Callithrix jacchus: one gene and its partner. The protein of the gene in region 1 purifies or fractionates together with the protein of each later gene. This does not show direct contact. Links are inferred from orthologs where the notes say so. Each region holds a gene or a part of one and is shown in the gene's direction. Other genes may lie near its edges.

What was found. Proteins that work in one complex are often made in the same cells at the same time.
Region 2: the proteins of NEUROG3 (region 1) and C1QBP purify together in Homo sapiens (affinity purification with mass spectrometry; 3 studies listed by BioGRID and IntAct, counting the BioPlex papers as one, with this or other methods). This does not show direct contact. The link is inferred for Callithrix jacchus from reciprocal best matches to the Homo sapiens genes NEUROG3 and C1QBP.

What each region holds. Positions count from the first base shown.
Region 1 is NC_133513.1:60,518,445-60,525,984, forward strand, and holds the start of NEUROG3 (neurogenin-3), read left to right. Parts: upstream 1-2,912; 5' UTR 2,913-3,277; coding exon 3,278-3,925; 3' UTR 3,926-7,540. UniProt on the Homo sapiens protein: Acts as a transcriptional regulator. Together with NKX2-2, initiates transcriptional activation of NEUROD1. Involved in neurogenesis. Also required for the specification of a common precursor of the 4 pancreatic endocrine cell types.
Region 2 is NC_133506.1:106,965,850-106,973,243, reverse strand, and holds the start of C1QBP (complement component 1 Q subcomponent-binding protein, mitochondrial), read left to right. Parts: upstream 1-2,277; 5' UTR 2,278-2,370; coding exon 2,371-2,611; intron 2,612-3,165; coding exon 3,166-3,316; intron 3,317-6,099; coding exon 6,100-6,193; intron 6,194-7,394.

The sequences.
Region 1 (7,540 bases):
AGGAGGGCTGCGGAACGTCCTGGCGTCTCTCAAGAAGGCGGCTGACCCCAGACACCGTGCGCTCCCCGCCCTGCTTTTTGCGCAAAGCAGGCGTGATGGAGACCTGCAAGCCTTGGAGGGCCCTGAGCCGGAGAGGTTTAGGGGAGGTTGGATAAGAATTCCAAGCAGGCCCTATAATTCTCTACCTATCAAGAAAGCTTGAAAGAATCCCCAGAGACTTTCCTGTCATGGGAAGCTCGCCCTGCAAACCTTGTCCTTATCCATTAGCAGCTCAAGGCAGACCCCAGCTAGAGCGACATCCACTCCTATCTGAGATCCACCGCCAGATAAGAGTTACGCTGTGGGAGGCTCTTCAGGACTCTGGGAAACCAGAGCGGTGCCTTCATGGTCAGGGTTCCCTCCAGGGAGCTTAGCCAGGTCAGGAGACCCTAGATAAGCATGGTTTGGATTTTCTCTCCCAAATCAAAAAAGCTTTAAGTTAGTTATCTCCCAGTTTCTAATTCGCAGGTGAATAAATCAAGCAAGGCTGGGGTATGAGGCAGACGAGGAGGAGGAGGAAGAGAGGGTGAAGGAGGAGGAGGAAGAGGAGGAGGAGGAGGAAGGGCAGGAGAAGGATGAGGAGGATGAAGAGGAGGAGGAGGAATGGACACTGGCTCCCCTTGCCTGGAAAATGGACCATTACTCCTTTTCTAATCTGACCCCCAGACTCAGGACTTCTATTTTCTGCATTTGGGGTCTCTTGATTTGCCTTGAAAAACAAAAAGGTTTTCCCTCAAATCAAAGAGTGGTAGCTGGTGCAAGGGAAAATCTGGGACTAGGAGTCTTAAGATATGACTTCTATGAGGTCCAGATAGAACTTGCTGTGCGACCTTGAGAGAGTCACTCCCCCTCTCTGGGCCTTGACTTTTTCATCTTTAAAGAGGGCCTGGAATTCCTATTCCCATACAAGAAGACAAGTTCCTAGCAAGTGGTGACCTAAGAGAGGAGCTGCAGCAAATGTTAACCCAACAGTCCCAGGTGGTCCCTTTGTTGGTTCTGACCCTGGCCTCAGGCTGTATTTCCCCACAGAAAGGGAAGGAGCCTCTGCTCACAGAGCACCAGGTAAGACCGGCAGGACCTCGCCACACCCCCGCCCAGTCCTTGACCCCCCCTCTTGCTGATTCCTGGGCATATCACCCTCTTCCTTGGAGGAAAACTTGTCTCCCAAGCAGCCCGGGTGGTAAGAGGCTATCACTAGGGCAGGCTCATAGACCTACCTCTTCCCCTCACCTCACCCTTCAGCCCCGCAGTTGGGTCCTGTACCCGCCTGCAGTTTCCGGGAGACTCAGGGTATCTGGACCTGCTAGAAAACGAAGGCTTCATCGCCTAAGGACACTTAAACCGGGAGACTTCACCCCCAGCCTCGGCTTCTTCCTCCAGGCACGACCGGGTCAAGAGAGAGAAGCGGAAGCCGCAACCCCTCACCCTGAGTGACCGGAAGCAGAAGACCACGGGGTGTCCCAGGCGGGGACAAGAAGGAGGGGCTGGGGAAGAAAGGAGGGGTGATGCGTTCAGACTCACTTTGGAAAGATTTCCAGAGAGCGCTACCAGGGACAACCCGAGGGCCTTGGAGAGTTCCTGCCCTGTGCTCGCTGTGCGCTGCCTGAGTTTTTCCGAGGCAGGGGGCTGGAGCAGGTGACTGCTGGCAGCCGCTGTCTGTGATTGGACCAGAGGATGAAGGGGAGAAAAAGTTTATCTGCTTCCAGTGCCTGCACACCGTGGTGATTCAAAATACACAAGGGGGAGGGGTGCAGCGGCTCTGTTTCGCAGCACTTTGGGAGGTTGAAGTATAAGGAACACTTAAGCCCAGGAGTTCAAGACCAGCCTGGGCAACAAAGCAAGACGCCCGTCTCTATAAAAAATAAAGATAAAAAAAATTAGCCAGGCACAGTGATGCACACCTGTAGTATCAGCTATTCGGAAGGCTGAGGTGGGAGGATAGCTTGAGCCCAGGAGATCAAGGCTGCAGTGAGCCGTGATTGCACCACTGCAATCACACCTGAGCAACAGGAGACCCTGACACACACACACACACACACACACACACACACCTCACTTCCCAGAACTCCTCCTGTCACAGTTCCTAGCCAGAACGCTGGGATACTATCCACAAGTTGTAGTAATGGAATGTTCCCTTGAGGGTCCCCCACAGCCAGCCTCTGCCTCTGGAGTGGGATCTATGGGGGTGGGGTTCTAAGCACCTCTGGGGAGTGTGAGGTAGCATCTCAGGCTGTGGCAGAGGCTCCAACACCCCTAAAAGAAGGTCTGTGAATGGAAGGGACATAGGCTGGATCGCTCTCCGTGATGGCCCCTGTCTTCCCTTCTAAGTTGAAGAGAGGCAATTCTAAAGAGCACCAGGAGAACAGGGTGCTCTTTAAAATTCTTGGACCCTTCTCCAGGCTGCTAGTCAGGACGACGAGCTCCTGGTTGTCTCTGCCACTACCTTACTGTGAGATTTCGGACTAGTCATCTCCCTCACTGAGCCTAAATTTCCCCCGTGTCTAACGTGCGGGGATTGTACCGCGTTAAAGTCCCCTTCAGGACGGATGCCAAGGTAAGATAGCTAGGAGCAAAGCGGTCTGGAGTGGCCTGACGCGAGCCACACAAGGCTCTTCTCGCTGGGCGAGGCTCTTTGAGGAACCGAGAGTTGCTGGGACCCAGCCCGAGGCGAGAGAGCAAACAGAGCGGCGCTCCCCTCCCCCGACCTCGGCCCTTTGTCCAGAATCCAGCTGTGCCCTGCAGGGGAGGAGCAGGCTCGCGTGGCGCGGCCCCCGGGCCCTGGCGCTGATTGGCCGGTGGCGCGGGCAGCAGCCGGGCAGGCACGCTCCAGGCCCGGGCCGAGCAGATAAAGCGTGCCAAGGGGCACACGACTTGCTGCTCAGGAAACCCCGCGGTCTCAAGAGAGAGGGCGACAGAGTCCCGGGACCCCATTCGCTCTTTTCTTCTTTGGGGCTGGGGCAACTCCCAGTCAGGGGCGCCTGCAGCTCAGCTGAACTTGGTGACCAGAAGCCTGCTCAGCTCCCCACGGCCCTCGCTGCTCACCGCTCTCTATTATTTTGCACCGGTAGAAAGGTAACATTTGGAGGCCGCCAAGGGACGAGTCGGGGAAAGAGGGATCCTCTGACCCAGCGGGGGCTGGGAGGATGGCTCATTCTGTTTTTTCCCACCTAGCCTCGGAATCGGGGGCTGCGCCTGGTGACCAACGCAAGCTTACTCTTCCCTCTGACCCCGCCGCAGGATGGCGCCTCATCCCTCGGGTTCGCCCACTGTCCAAGTGACCGGTGAGACGGAGCGGCCCTTCCCCAAAGCCTTGGACAACGAAGTGACCTGCGCCACGTCCGCCCCGCCCAGCCCCACTCTCACGCGGGGGAACTGCGTGGAGGCGGAAGGCGGAGGCTGCAGAGGAGCCCCGAGGAAACTCCGGGCGCGGCGCGGGGGGCGCAGCCGTCCTAAGAGCGAGGTGGCACTGAGCAAGCAGCGACGGAGTCGGCGCAAGAAGGCCAACGACCGCGAACGCAATCGGATGCACAACCTCAACTCTGCGCTGGACGCACTGCGCGGCGTCCTGCCCACATTCCCAGACGACGCGAAGCTCACCAAGATCGAGACGCTGCGCTTCGCCCACAACTATATCTGGGCGCTGACTCAAACGCTGCGCATAGCAGACCACAGCTTCTACGCGCTGGAGTCGCCTGCGTCGCACTGCGGGGACCTGGGCAGCCCAGAAGGCAGTTCCCCCGGGGACTGGGGCTCCCTCTACTCTCCAGTCTCCCAGGCTGGCAGCCTGAGCCCCGCCGCGTCGCTGGAGGAGGGCCCCGGGGTTCGAGGGGCCACCTCTTCCGGCTGCTTGCGCCCAGGCACTATGGCTTTCTCAGATTTTCTGTGAAGGGACCTGCTGGTCTCTGGGCTGTGGGTACTAAGGGTAAAGGAGAGGGAGGGAGCCGGAGCCGTCGAGGGTGGGCGACGGCGGCGGCCCTCAAGAGCACTTGTTCCTTCTGCTTTTCCCTGGCTGACCCCTGGAGGACCCACGGGGGCCGCAGGCTGGGTTCATTCCCGGGCCCTCCGAGCCGCGCCAACTCACACAAACCTTGCTGCTGCCCGCGCGAAGTGGGCATTGCAAGCTTAGCTGATTTTAGGCCTCCTCCCTGCCACCACCCCAAAATCTCATTCAAAGTATACGAGAATGATAGCACTACCTGGCTGGAGCCGCCCACCGTCTCTGGTCGCCCTACCCGCGCTCGAGTCTGCCTGCCCCTCTGTCTCTTGCCACCCCTCCTCCAAAGTGATTCGATGTTTGGTCTCTTAGCGCTTGCTCCCCTTGCCCGGCTCCAAAGACGCTGCGGATCTTCTCCTCTACTCCCAATCAGGTCCGGGGTTTCAGAGCGTTTCACTCTGCCTTAAAGCCAAGAAGGCGATCCTCTGTCTTCTCCTCGTGCACTTTTCGGAGCCATTGCCCTCCCGGGGCGGAAGACCAGGCTGTGAACTGGGAAAGCGCTAGCCGGGCCAGGGAGCACCTCCCCAGCCTCCCTGCGAACTGCACCTGAAACGTGAGCGGCGCTGCAGGTGCCTGAAGCACCACGCATCTTTTTTTTTTTTTTTAATCGGTTTGTAAATTATATGATGTCTTTAGAAATGAATTTTGGTACAGTAAATTATATGGCCCCTCCCCCATTTTACATAATTGTATTTATTAATGAGATTTCACCGCAGGTAAAACTCTATATTTTGTATATTAGATTATTTAGGGATTGCTGGATGAGATTTTAAGCCAATAAAAAGAGGTGGGGACCTTCAAGAAGGCTCAGCAAGGTGACTCCATTGTGCCCCAGGAAGAGGAGTGTCACAGTCTCTGCAGCTGAGGAAGAGCACCTCTGTCCAAGCAAGGAGACAGATGACACTCTTTCTGGAGGTCTGGGCCAGAGGCAGGGCAGATTGCATTTGGAATGCTGGAAGTCTTCTGAGTAATTATTGATCCAGCCCCCCCTTTTTTTTTCTGGGGCAATGACTGCTTTAATTTCAAAGAGCAGTTTAAAAGAAAGACAAGCCTCCAACTAGGACTACTGACTCTCTTTGCCGGCCCCTTCCCCGGTTCCACCAGCCTAGCTCTAGAGCAACTGTTGGTTGCACTTGAGGGAGGCAGACAGTAATAACTCAATGGCAGAGTCGGAATCCTCGGAAACACAGCTGCCAGGCTGAGCGTCCTAGGAATTTTCCCAAGGTGCTTTGGGGCCTAGTACATCCCCGGAGCATATTTTACTCCCCAGGCACTGGGGTGGCTGTGTCTTGAACTCATGGAGCTGAGCAGCCAGGAGCAAAGAAAGTGGAGGGTCTGCTTGGAATCTCTGGCAATGCCCCCACCCTCATCACATAGAAGCCTTGATTGAAAACTTACCAAGAAACTGTTGAAGGTTTCCAGCCACACCATCTCTCTTACTGGTAAGGTGAAATAGGATTGGTCAGCATGGGGACTGAAATCAGTAGAGCACCCCTATATGACTTCAGGGACCCCTAGGACCTCAGAGAATATGGTCTACACTGTAAGGATCCACAGAATTCACCTGCAGCTTGGGAACAGGAAAGTGGAAGGCGGGCAACAATACCTGCTAGTTGAACTCCAGAGGCCTTCTTTAGTCAGCCAGGGATGTCCTGGGAAGAAGTGGGCCAACCCAGCTCCCAGGAGCTGGTGGAGAGGTTGCTTTTCCAGCATATTAGAGTGCAAAGGTGGTGTCTTCTCAGGGGTTAATGCCTCTTGCATCTCTCTTTTTCTCCTCTGCCCTACCCAATTCAAATTGAAATATTCCTCTTCTTTATCACAAATCTCTAAAGTTAGCTTGGAGGAGACTTGTCTCGTTATCAGGGCAGGATTTAGGGGCGGGAAGAGGGACACTGCAAACAAACGAATGAACGAAGGTGTTGTTTCATTTTGTGGCTTTAATCTGAGAGGAGGAGATTAATGGGTTATTGGTAACCTCTGCAATAGCCAACTTTCCACCTGGGGCACTGCCCAGGGACAGGTGTCAGCAGCTTGGGAGTTGCACAAACCAAGCAAACACCTGCGATTTGCTGGGCATTGGGGGGAGGAGGTGGGCAGACATAAAAATCAAAAAGGTCTCTCTGTCCTCGCAGAACAGCAGCAAGGATATAGACAAAATCAAAGCCCAAGAAATACTGGTGGTTGGGTGAGGTATGAGCCACAGAATGGACCATAATACTGTCACCTTGGGGCTGGCATGCTGGGGGCTTGCAGGAGGAGGTGGCATTTGAGCCAGGACTAAAGGTTTGAAGAGGAATTCTTCAAGTGGAAGGATCTTCTTCCTGTGTAAGGCTGTGTGAGGTAGTGTTCATCATCTAGGCAGGGGACTTCCTGGGTACAAACGAACCCTAGAAACTGGAGGAGCATTTGCTGAACTAACGTTCTCCAGGCGGCAACCGGGTGAGGTGTGTCCCACAGCCCAGTTCCTCTCCTGCTTTCGAGGTCGCTCATTAAGGAGCCATTAGTCACCCAACACACACAGACTGGTCCTCCGCCCCACAAATTAAAACACACTCGTACGGGTTAACCAACTCTGCTGCTGGGTCGCCACCTTGGGTCGGGGCGGATTAGACCTCCGGGGCTGTCAACCCCACTCTCCAAGTCTGGAGAAGGCGGAGGAGGTTTAGGGTTTGGTTGAATCACGGAGGCAAAGTTCAGGGTTCGGTGCTGGATGAGCTTCATCTAGGTGTGTAGAATCAGGCTAGGATGGGAAACCTCCATGCTTCTTTCCAAAGAACCCCTCAGCAAGAAGGGCTCGGAAACATTTCTAGGAGTGGCCTATCCCACTAGTTCTGCACCACTGCTCCCGCGCCTTCCACCTCCTGAGGGCCTTTTTGATCCAGGGGCTTTTAAAACCGCGCTACTAGCGGTCTCTGCCCGGAGCCCGCCTATGCTGCGTCAGCCAGCGCTTCTCCGCCGCGGAGCCTCTCCTTCAGTCTGAGATCGCCGCCCGCGCCCAAGCTCCCAGAAATTCCCAACAGTGTCCGAAACCCGGACAGGAAAGACCCTTGGGTCGAATGGCTCCTCCCTCGTCTTCTGCTTTTGTTTGAGCCCAAGACTGGCTTCCAGAAAAACAGCACATGAATCTTGCGCCTCCCCCAAGCCCAGCCGCGCTGGCACACAAGCAGGTAGATTTATGGTGCCCTGCCCCCATCCCACCCCACCCCCAGCCGGCCTCAGTCGGAGGACAATGCGTCCCGGGGCCATTGGAATGCTAATGTCTGGGAGCCAGGCCGCTGGGCTGGCACAAAGGTAGGCGGGGCCCGGATCGCACGCGACTCCGCAAGCCCACGCTAACCCTTCTTTCCCTCGCGGGCTACTGGGCGGTGTGACCTTGGACAAGTCTCCTAGCCACAAGAGAAGTTGGAAGGAGTTCTTAATATCCTTTCGCTGGGTTTCTGTGTGCCTAACACAAGGCTGTGCTTGCGATGAACCGCATCACAGCCCACATCCCCAAGACCTGAAGCC
Region 2 (7,394 bases), on another chromosome or scaffold:
TAATCCCAGCTACCAGGGAGGCTGAGGTACAAGAATTGCTTGAACTTGGGAGGCAGAGTGTTCAGTGAGCCAAGATCACTCCACTGCACTCCAGCTTGACCCACAGTGCCATACTGCGTCTCAAAAAAAAAAAAACAACTTGGGGTAATTTATGTCCAGCTTAAGTATCTGAACAGCTTCCAGAAATGTATATTTTTTTTTCCTGAGAGGTAAAGGATATAAACAGCTTCTAAGTAGCTTTAATGTTTCTGTACAGAAATATGTTTATCACTGTAACATTGTGGTAGAGTTTTAATACAGTATTTAGTTTTTAAATACTTTTTTTAAAAAGTGAACTTTTAACATAGCTGCTCAGGGATTAAATCAGATTGGAAAACCCATCTGACTCCACATATTCCTACAAAGAAATAAATCGTTGTTTATATTGAGCTGCAGGGGATAGTACACTTTAAACTTAGGAAAGTTAAACGTTTCACAATAACACTGCAATATAATCCTCAGCTACTCTTTTTCCATTGGTAAAATCTCTGATGATGTGATACCTCTTTGCTTCTTGTAAATAGATGCACTCCACCCAGATTGCATGCCTCAGGTGTTTGCCTTCTAGTAATCATGGAGTGTGCAGCACCCAGAGTAACACATATTTTACTACAAGGGGCAGGACTGCAAACACCATGTCCTGGATAAAAACCCTAATGCTGCATTGCTGCCAGTTGCAAAGAGATGCCTGAATGGAAGCAAGTTTTGCACTGTGGGTAAAACTGATTATGTACTGTACTGTGATATATAAATCCTAAATCCAGCTACCAGGAACTGCCTGGAACTGTGGCCATGCATTTTTTTTTTTTTTTTAAAGACCAGTGTGATAATAGGCCATGCATCTAAGATAGCATTCCTTGGTAACTAGAGGGAGGAGGAAAAAAATCAAGTAGGTTCAGGCTTTTGTTTGTGTAGAAATAACTACAGAAAGCTCTTGTACATAATGCTCAAGTTTGCACCCGATGATCAAATCCATTAAAAACTAATCTTACATGATGTGTGTGGCTCGTTTTCTGAATCTCCTTTCCGTTATTCATTGAAAATTGTTTAGAAAATAGCTTTTCTTTTCTTATAAAGGTGTCCTGTGACTCAGGAGTGTTCAGAAGATATTAAGTGTTAGTCTTATCATGAGTTAGTAAGCCATACCTTCTTGGTAGCTTATATGTCCTGTGTATCCTGAGAAGGTGGGATTCTTGGTTCTTAATCTAAATCTGAACCCCCTCTTTGGGTTATATGAATTTACTTGAGCCTCTCACAGAACTCAGGGAAACACATTTACTGGTTTAATGTAAAGGATATGACCGAGGATGCGGATAAGGAGATGAGCTCCCCTCCCAGGGCTACAGCCCTCCAGGAACCTCCAAGTGTTTAGCTCTCAGAGGCTCTCCAAACCCTGTCCTCTTGGGTTTTTATGGAAGCTTCCAAACTTCAGCATCTCTTTCCCCAAGGTATAGGGTGGGACCTTCTCTGGGGAGGGACTTAAGACCCACAATCAGAAATGTGGGGGGAGATGAGAGTCCCGCTATGGGGCCTGTGAAAGGGGAGGAGGAGGGGAGAGAGATTCTATTCTCTGAGGCCTAACACACCCAACATTATCACAGAACACTGTAACAAGGGCTGTGAGAGTTAAGAGCCAGGAACTGTGGATGAAAACCTATACACACACACACACACACACACAGTGGATGAAAACCTATACACACACACACACACACACTGGATGAAAACCTATACACACACCGTGACACCACAGCCTCCCAGGAACTGTGGATGAAAACCTACACACACACACACACACTGGATGAAAACCTATACACACACCGTGACACCACAGCCTCCCAGGAACTATGGATGAAAACCTACACACACACACACACACACACACTGTAACACCACAGCCAGGAACTGTGGATGAAAACCTGTACACACACACACAGAAACACCACAGCCTCCTAGAGGAAAGTGACCGTGTAAGGGTCTGGTAAGAGCTGAGGGGAGACAAGAGTGCATTCCACGCAGCCCAAAAACGGTGTGGCTTGAGACCAGTAGATGGAAAATGTCTAAGCAGCCACCGAAGGGAATTAAACAGCTTCGGACAGCGGCCTCAGGCTAACGCAGCAAGAAAGCTCGCGGAAAAAATTCGAGGCTTCCCGGGCTATACCGGAGGTCTCCAGCAGAGGGCGCGATTCCTCCCACTGGCCTTAGGTCTTCAGAGCGCCGGCGCGGGAAGCGCTTCCTGACGGGGCGGGGCTTCCGGCAGCGGGCTAGGTCGCGGGGAGCCTAGAGTTGGGTAGTCCTTTGCGTCTGCACGTGTTCCTAGTCCTCTCCGCGATGCTGCCTCTGCTACGCTGCGTGCCCCGTGTACTGGGCTCCTCCGTTGCCGGCCTCCGCGCCGCGGCTCCCGCCTCGCCTGCTTCGCCATTCCGGCAGCTCCTGCAGCCGGCGCCCCAGCTCTGCGCCCGGCCCTTCGGGCTGCTCAGCGTGCGCGCAGGTTCCGAGCAGCGGCCGGGCCTCCTGCGGCCTCGCGGGCCCTGCGCCTGCGGCTGTGGCTGCGGCGCGCTGCACACCGAAGGTGAGGTTCATGCTCGTGGGCCAGGGCTGTTGTTGGGGTTTGCGGTCTACGAAAGAAAAACGTAGACCAGGAGTGGCGCCTGCAACCGACCTCCGAGATCTGGGACATTATTCCATTGATTGGCAACCAGCGGGTTAAACCCACGTGTGATCATATTTCCCCACCTCGCCTTTCCACAAGTTTCATTTTCTGTTGGAACGGGGTAGATAAATACTAGAGGGTACCTCTATCCTTAGCTTTAGTCTCTCAAAAGTGGACCTTTGGGAAAGCCCAAGGTCGTGATTGAAAATAGCATAGTTAAATCGTTTGGCAGTGGAAGAGGATGCCTGGAAGTTCTTCTGCTTTACAACAGAAGGTGGCAATGCGTTCGCTGTTGGACGTCCTTAGCTTCGCAATACTATTGTGTTATTTTTACAGATAAGGAAACTGAGGCTTCCAGAGTAAGCATAATAGCAGAGATTAGAAACAGGCCAGATTTCTGGCTACAATAACTTGGGTAATAATTTTATGTTTTAGACTAACTGGCTTCCCTTTTAATGTATCTGGATTTCTAGGAGACAAAGCTTTTGTTGATTTCCTGAGTGATGAAATTAAGGAGGAAAGAAAAATCCAGAAGCATAAAACCCTCCCTAAGATGTCTGGAGGTTGGGAGCTGGAACTGAATGGGACAGAAGCTAAATTAGTGCAGAAAGTTGCTGGGGAAACGTAAGTACTGGTCTGGGGATTCCAGGGCACCAACTCCATTACCCTGCAAGACCCGTCGTGGATCATCCCCAGAAGAGCCTTGAGTTCAGGTGTGGATTCTTTGATAAATGGTTTTCAAGCGAGTGAAGGATTCATTTGGACAAATTTATAAGTTCCAGATAGTTGATTCACTGAACACAAATTTGCTGTGGGCTGATTACTAAGGAGACAAAAATGAACACAAAAAAGTACTGGCAGAATCAGATTGATCTCTGGTTTACAGCGCCAGTAAAGTAGGACCCTGGTCTCTTAATGTCCAGAGTGGGTGAAAATGCAACATGTAACTTCTGTGTAACAGAATGGGGTTACACTGTAGTCAGGGCTGCCATCAGAGGTTGGGAGTTTGTGACCTAAGGCAGCTCTCCCACCTTCTAAGCTAACTGTTGAAGTGTTTACAATTTTTTTGCATTATAGTCATCCATAATCTTATTACACAGATAAACACTTAGTATCTTCCAGGTTTTTAAAATTGAATTATTTTATAATAGACCTTATGATGTATATATAACTTTTTTTTTTTGAGAGGAGTTTGGTTCCTGTTGCCCAGGCTGGAGTGCAATGGCATGATCTCAGCTCAATGCACCCTCTGCCTCCCAGGTTCAAGCGATTCTCCTGCCTCAGCCTCCTGAGTTAGTTGGGATTACAGGCATGCGCCACCACACCCAGCTAGTTTTGTATTTTTAGTAGAGACAGGGTTTTGCCACGTTGGTCAGAATGGTCTTGATCTCCTGACCTCATGATCCGCCCACCTTGGCCTCCCAAAGTGCTGGGATTACAGGTGTGAGCCACCTCACCCAGCCTTTAATTATTTTTTTAAGTGACAGCTTTAATGAGATTTAATTTATATACCATAAAATTTACCCATTTATTGAAGCTTATTAAATTGTTTCTTAGTCCTCATAAAATTATGCATCAGATACCACTAACTAATTCTAGAACATTATTGTCATCTCCAAAGAATACCATTAGCAGTCACTCCTGATTCCTCCATCTAGCCACTGCAGGCAATCACTAATCTACTTTCTCTATAGATTGCCTCTTTTGGTCATTTCATATAAACAGAGTCCTACAATATGCAGCTTTCTCCCTACCCCATGGAGTCTTGCTCTGTCATACAGGCTGGAGTGCAGTGGCAGGATCTCGGCTCACTGCAACCTCTGCCTCCTGGGTTCAAGCAATTCTCCTGCCTCCGCCTCCTGAGTAGCTGGGATTATAGGCGCATGCCTGGCTAATTTCTGTGTTGTAGTGTTGGCCAGGCTGGTCTTGAACTCCTGACCTCATGATCTACCTGCCTAGGTCTCCCAGAGTGCTCCAATTACAGGTGTGAGCCACGCTGCCCAGCCTATTTACCTTTTTAATTGTTGGGTTTTAAGAGTTCTTTAGTTTATTCTGGGTATAATTCTCTTATCACATTAATGATTTGCATGTATTACTTCCCATTTTGTGGGTTTTCTTTTCATTCTTGGTAATGTCCTCTGACACAAAAGTTATTTATTTTGATGAAGTTCATTTTAACCTGTTTTTTTTTTTTTGGGTCACTTGCGCTTTTTTACTTTTTACTTTGCTTTTGATTCACCAAGTGCAACTTGTGCTTTTTTAGTGTCACATCCAAGAAACCACTGCCTAATCCAAGGTTGTGAAGATTGATGCCTTATTTTTTTCAAAGCGTTTTCTAGTTTTAGCTCTTAGTTTAGGTCTCCGATCCATTTTGAGTATGGTGTAAAGTAAGGTCCTGATTCGCTTTGCCTATTGCATAGCGTGTTTTTTCCCATACACAGGTCAGTTGTGTCATCATTTAAAAACCATTTGCACAAGCTTTTCACAGCTATTTGAGGGCCATTAAAAATAACAGTGACGAACATCATTGCAGGAGCTCAGCTTGGTCAGCACAGTTAGAATTAAATAGATTTCTGTCAACTTCAGACTGCCACTGTTATTATGGAAAAGTGACTTCATGGCACAGCAGCTAGTTAGCACAAGTCGAGGGGGCAGCACTTAATGTATTCTTGAATAGTACCTGCCCAAGTTGCGTAGTCCAGCAGGTCTAGTTCTAAACCTCATGTTCTGAACCTCAGGAATTTTGACTCAAACTTTGGAATATGATTTGTCATGTGTGGATTCTTGCACCTTAAAATTGTCATTAGTTGGTTTTTCGGGCCTGCTTTGTGATGATAAAACTTCCCATAAGTACTCTGAAGAATGACTTTACTACAGCCTTTGTTCTTTGTGAGGCATCCCCACTCCTGGGGCCAGGATGCTCTCACCCTCCATTGCTCCTTCCTTTCCTTGCAGGGCAGATTTTCTGATGGGGAAGGCTCTTAAAGGGGCTTCTGGTCCATCTCACCAGCTTCTCAGGTCCCTACTTTTACCAAGCATTCCCTGGAAAGACCAGGGTGAGCAGGGTCTGCCAACTATGGACATGAGATGCCCAGTCAACACACGGTAGTGAGCCCTGGGATACTGGCCTGTTGGGAGTAACTCATGCATGATTTGTTTGGCTGAGATAAACTGAGGCCAGCTTTGGCTTCCAGCAGCTGTCACATGGTAGGCACACTTCAGACCTGCTGAGTCACTGGGGATTGGAGGTAGGCAGCCAACCTTGTTTGAAGTTCTGCATGAAACTCAGCCAGCCAGGATAGAGACATTGTTTCAATAGGCCTTTTTAACTGTAGCAGACCTCCATGTATATGTGTTAACCTACTCAGTTAAAACTCCGCCTTGTCTGTTGTCTCTTGCCCTTTTAGAATCACTGTCACTTTCAATATTAACAACAGCATCCCACCAACATTTGATGGTGAGGAGGAACCCTCGAAAGGGCAGAAGGTTGAAGAACAGGAGGTAAGCTTAACACTGTAATCAGCTTTTACCTAAGTTCTGACAGGCTGTCACTGGGGCTGAGAGGAGGAGCATTTTTCTTTGTTCATTAAAAAAAAAAATCCTCTAAGGCTAGGCCCATGGCTCCCACCTATAATCCCAGCCCTTTGGGAGGCCAAGCTGGAAAGATCCCTTGAGGCCAGGAGTTTGAGACCAGCCTGAGGAACATGGCAAGACCCTGCTTCTACGAACATTTAAAAAAAAAAATTAACTGGGCATGGTGGCACATGACTGTGGTTCCAGCTATGCAGGAGACTGAGGCAGGAGGAATCAGTGGTTTCTGACCAGCTTTAGCAGCACTGTGGCTCCCTTTTCTTTCCCAGGGACCGAATATGTTGCTTACAGTCAAGTAGATGAAGTGAGGACAGTGTTCTCTTAATGGAAAGGATATGAAACAGTCTCAACCTTTCCCATGATAGGGAGACTTTTTTTTTTGAGACGGTCTCACTCCATTGCCCAGCCTAGAGTGCAGTGGTGCAATCTCTGCTCACTGCAACTTTCGCCTCTCAGGTTCAAGTGATTCCCCAGCCTCAGCCTCCCGAGTACCTGGGATTACAGGCATGCACCACCACAACCAGCTAATATTTGTATTTTTAGTACAGATGGGGTTTCACCATGTTTGCCAGACTGGCCTTGAACTCCTGACCTCAAGTGATCCGCCCACCTGCGCCTCCCAAAGTGCTGGGATTACAGACGTGAGCCACCAATGCCCAGCCTCTTCCAACATTTTAAGAAGTGCTGTGCCCGGCCTAGTAGCCAGCCAGTATGAGAGCCAGAGTCCCTAGAGCTTCTGCCAAAGCAGCCATCAGTACAGTGTTGTTTCATGACCTGGTATGGTCAGCATAGCTCTCTGGTATGCTTCTTTCCCAGCCACCCCAACTATCATTTCCCTGACATTGGACCTAGTCTGCTCCCAGAGCTCACCATCAGTAAAAGTTGGTGCTGTCATTCAGCCATAAGGATGGCCATTTAACCAGGTTCCCCAGCCTTTGACCCTGGTCCCTTATGAAGACTCTTGGAACAGTCAAGCTGGAAAGAGATCTTGAAACTTTCTGCAGTATATGGGTGGAGAAAAAGGCTTGGAATGTTAAGGGACTGATAGAAACTCAGTTAATTGGCACATGGCTGAGGCTGGTATCCTTTTATTTATTTTTTCTTTTGGAGA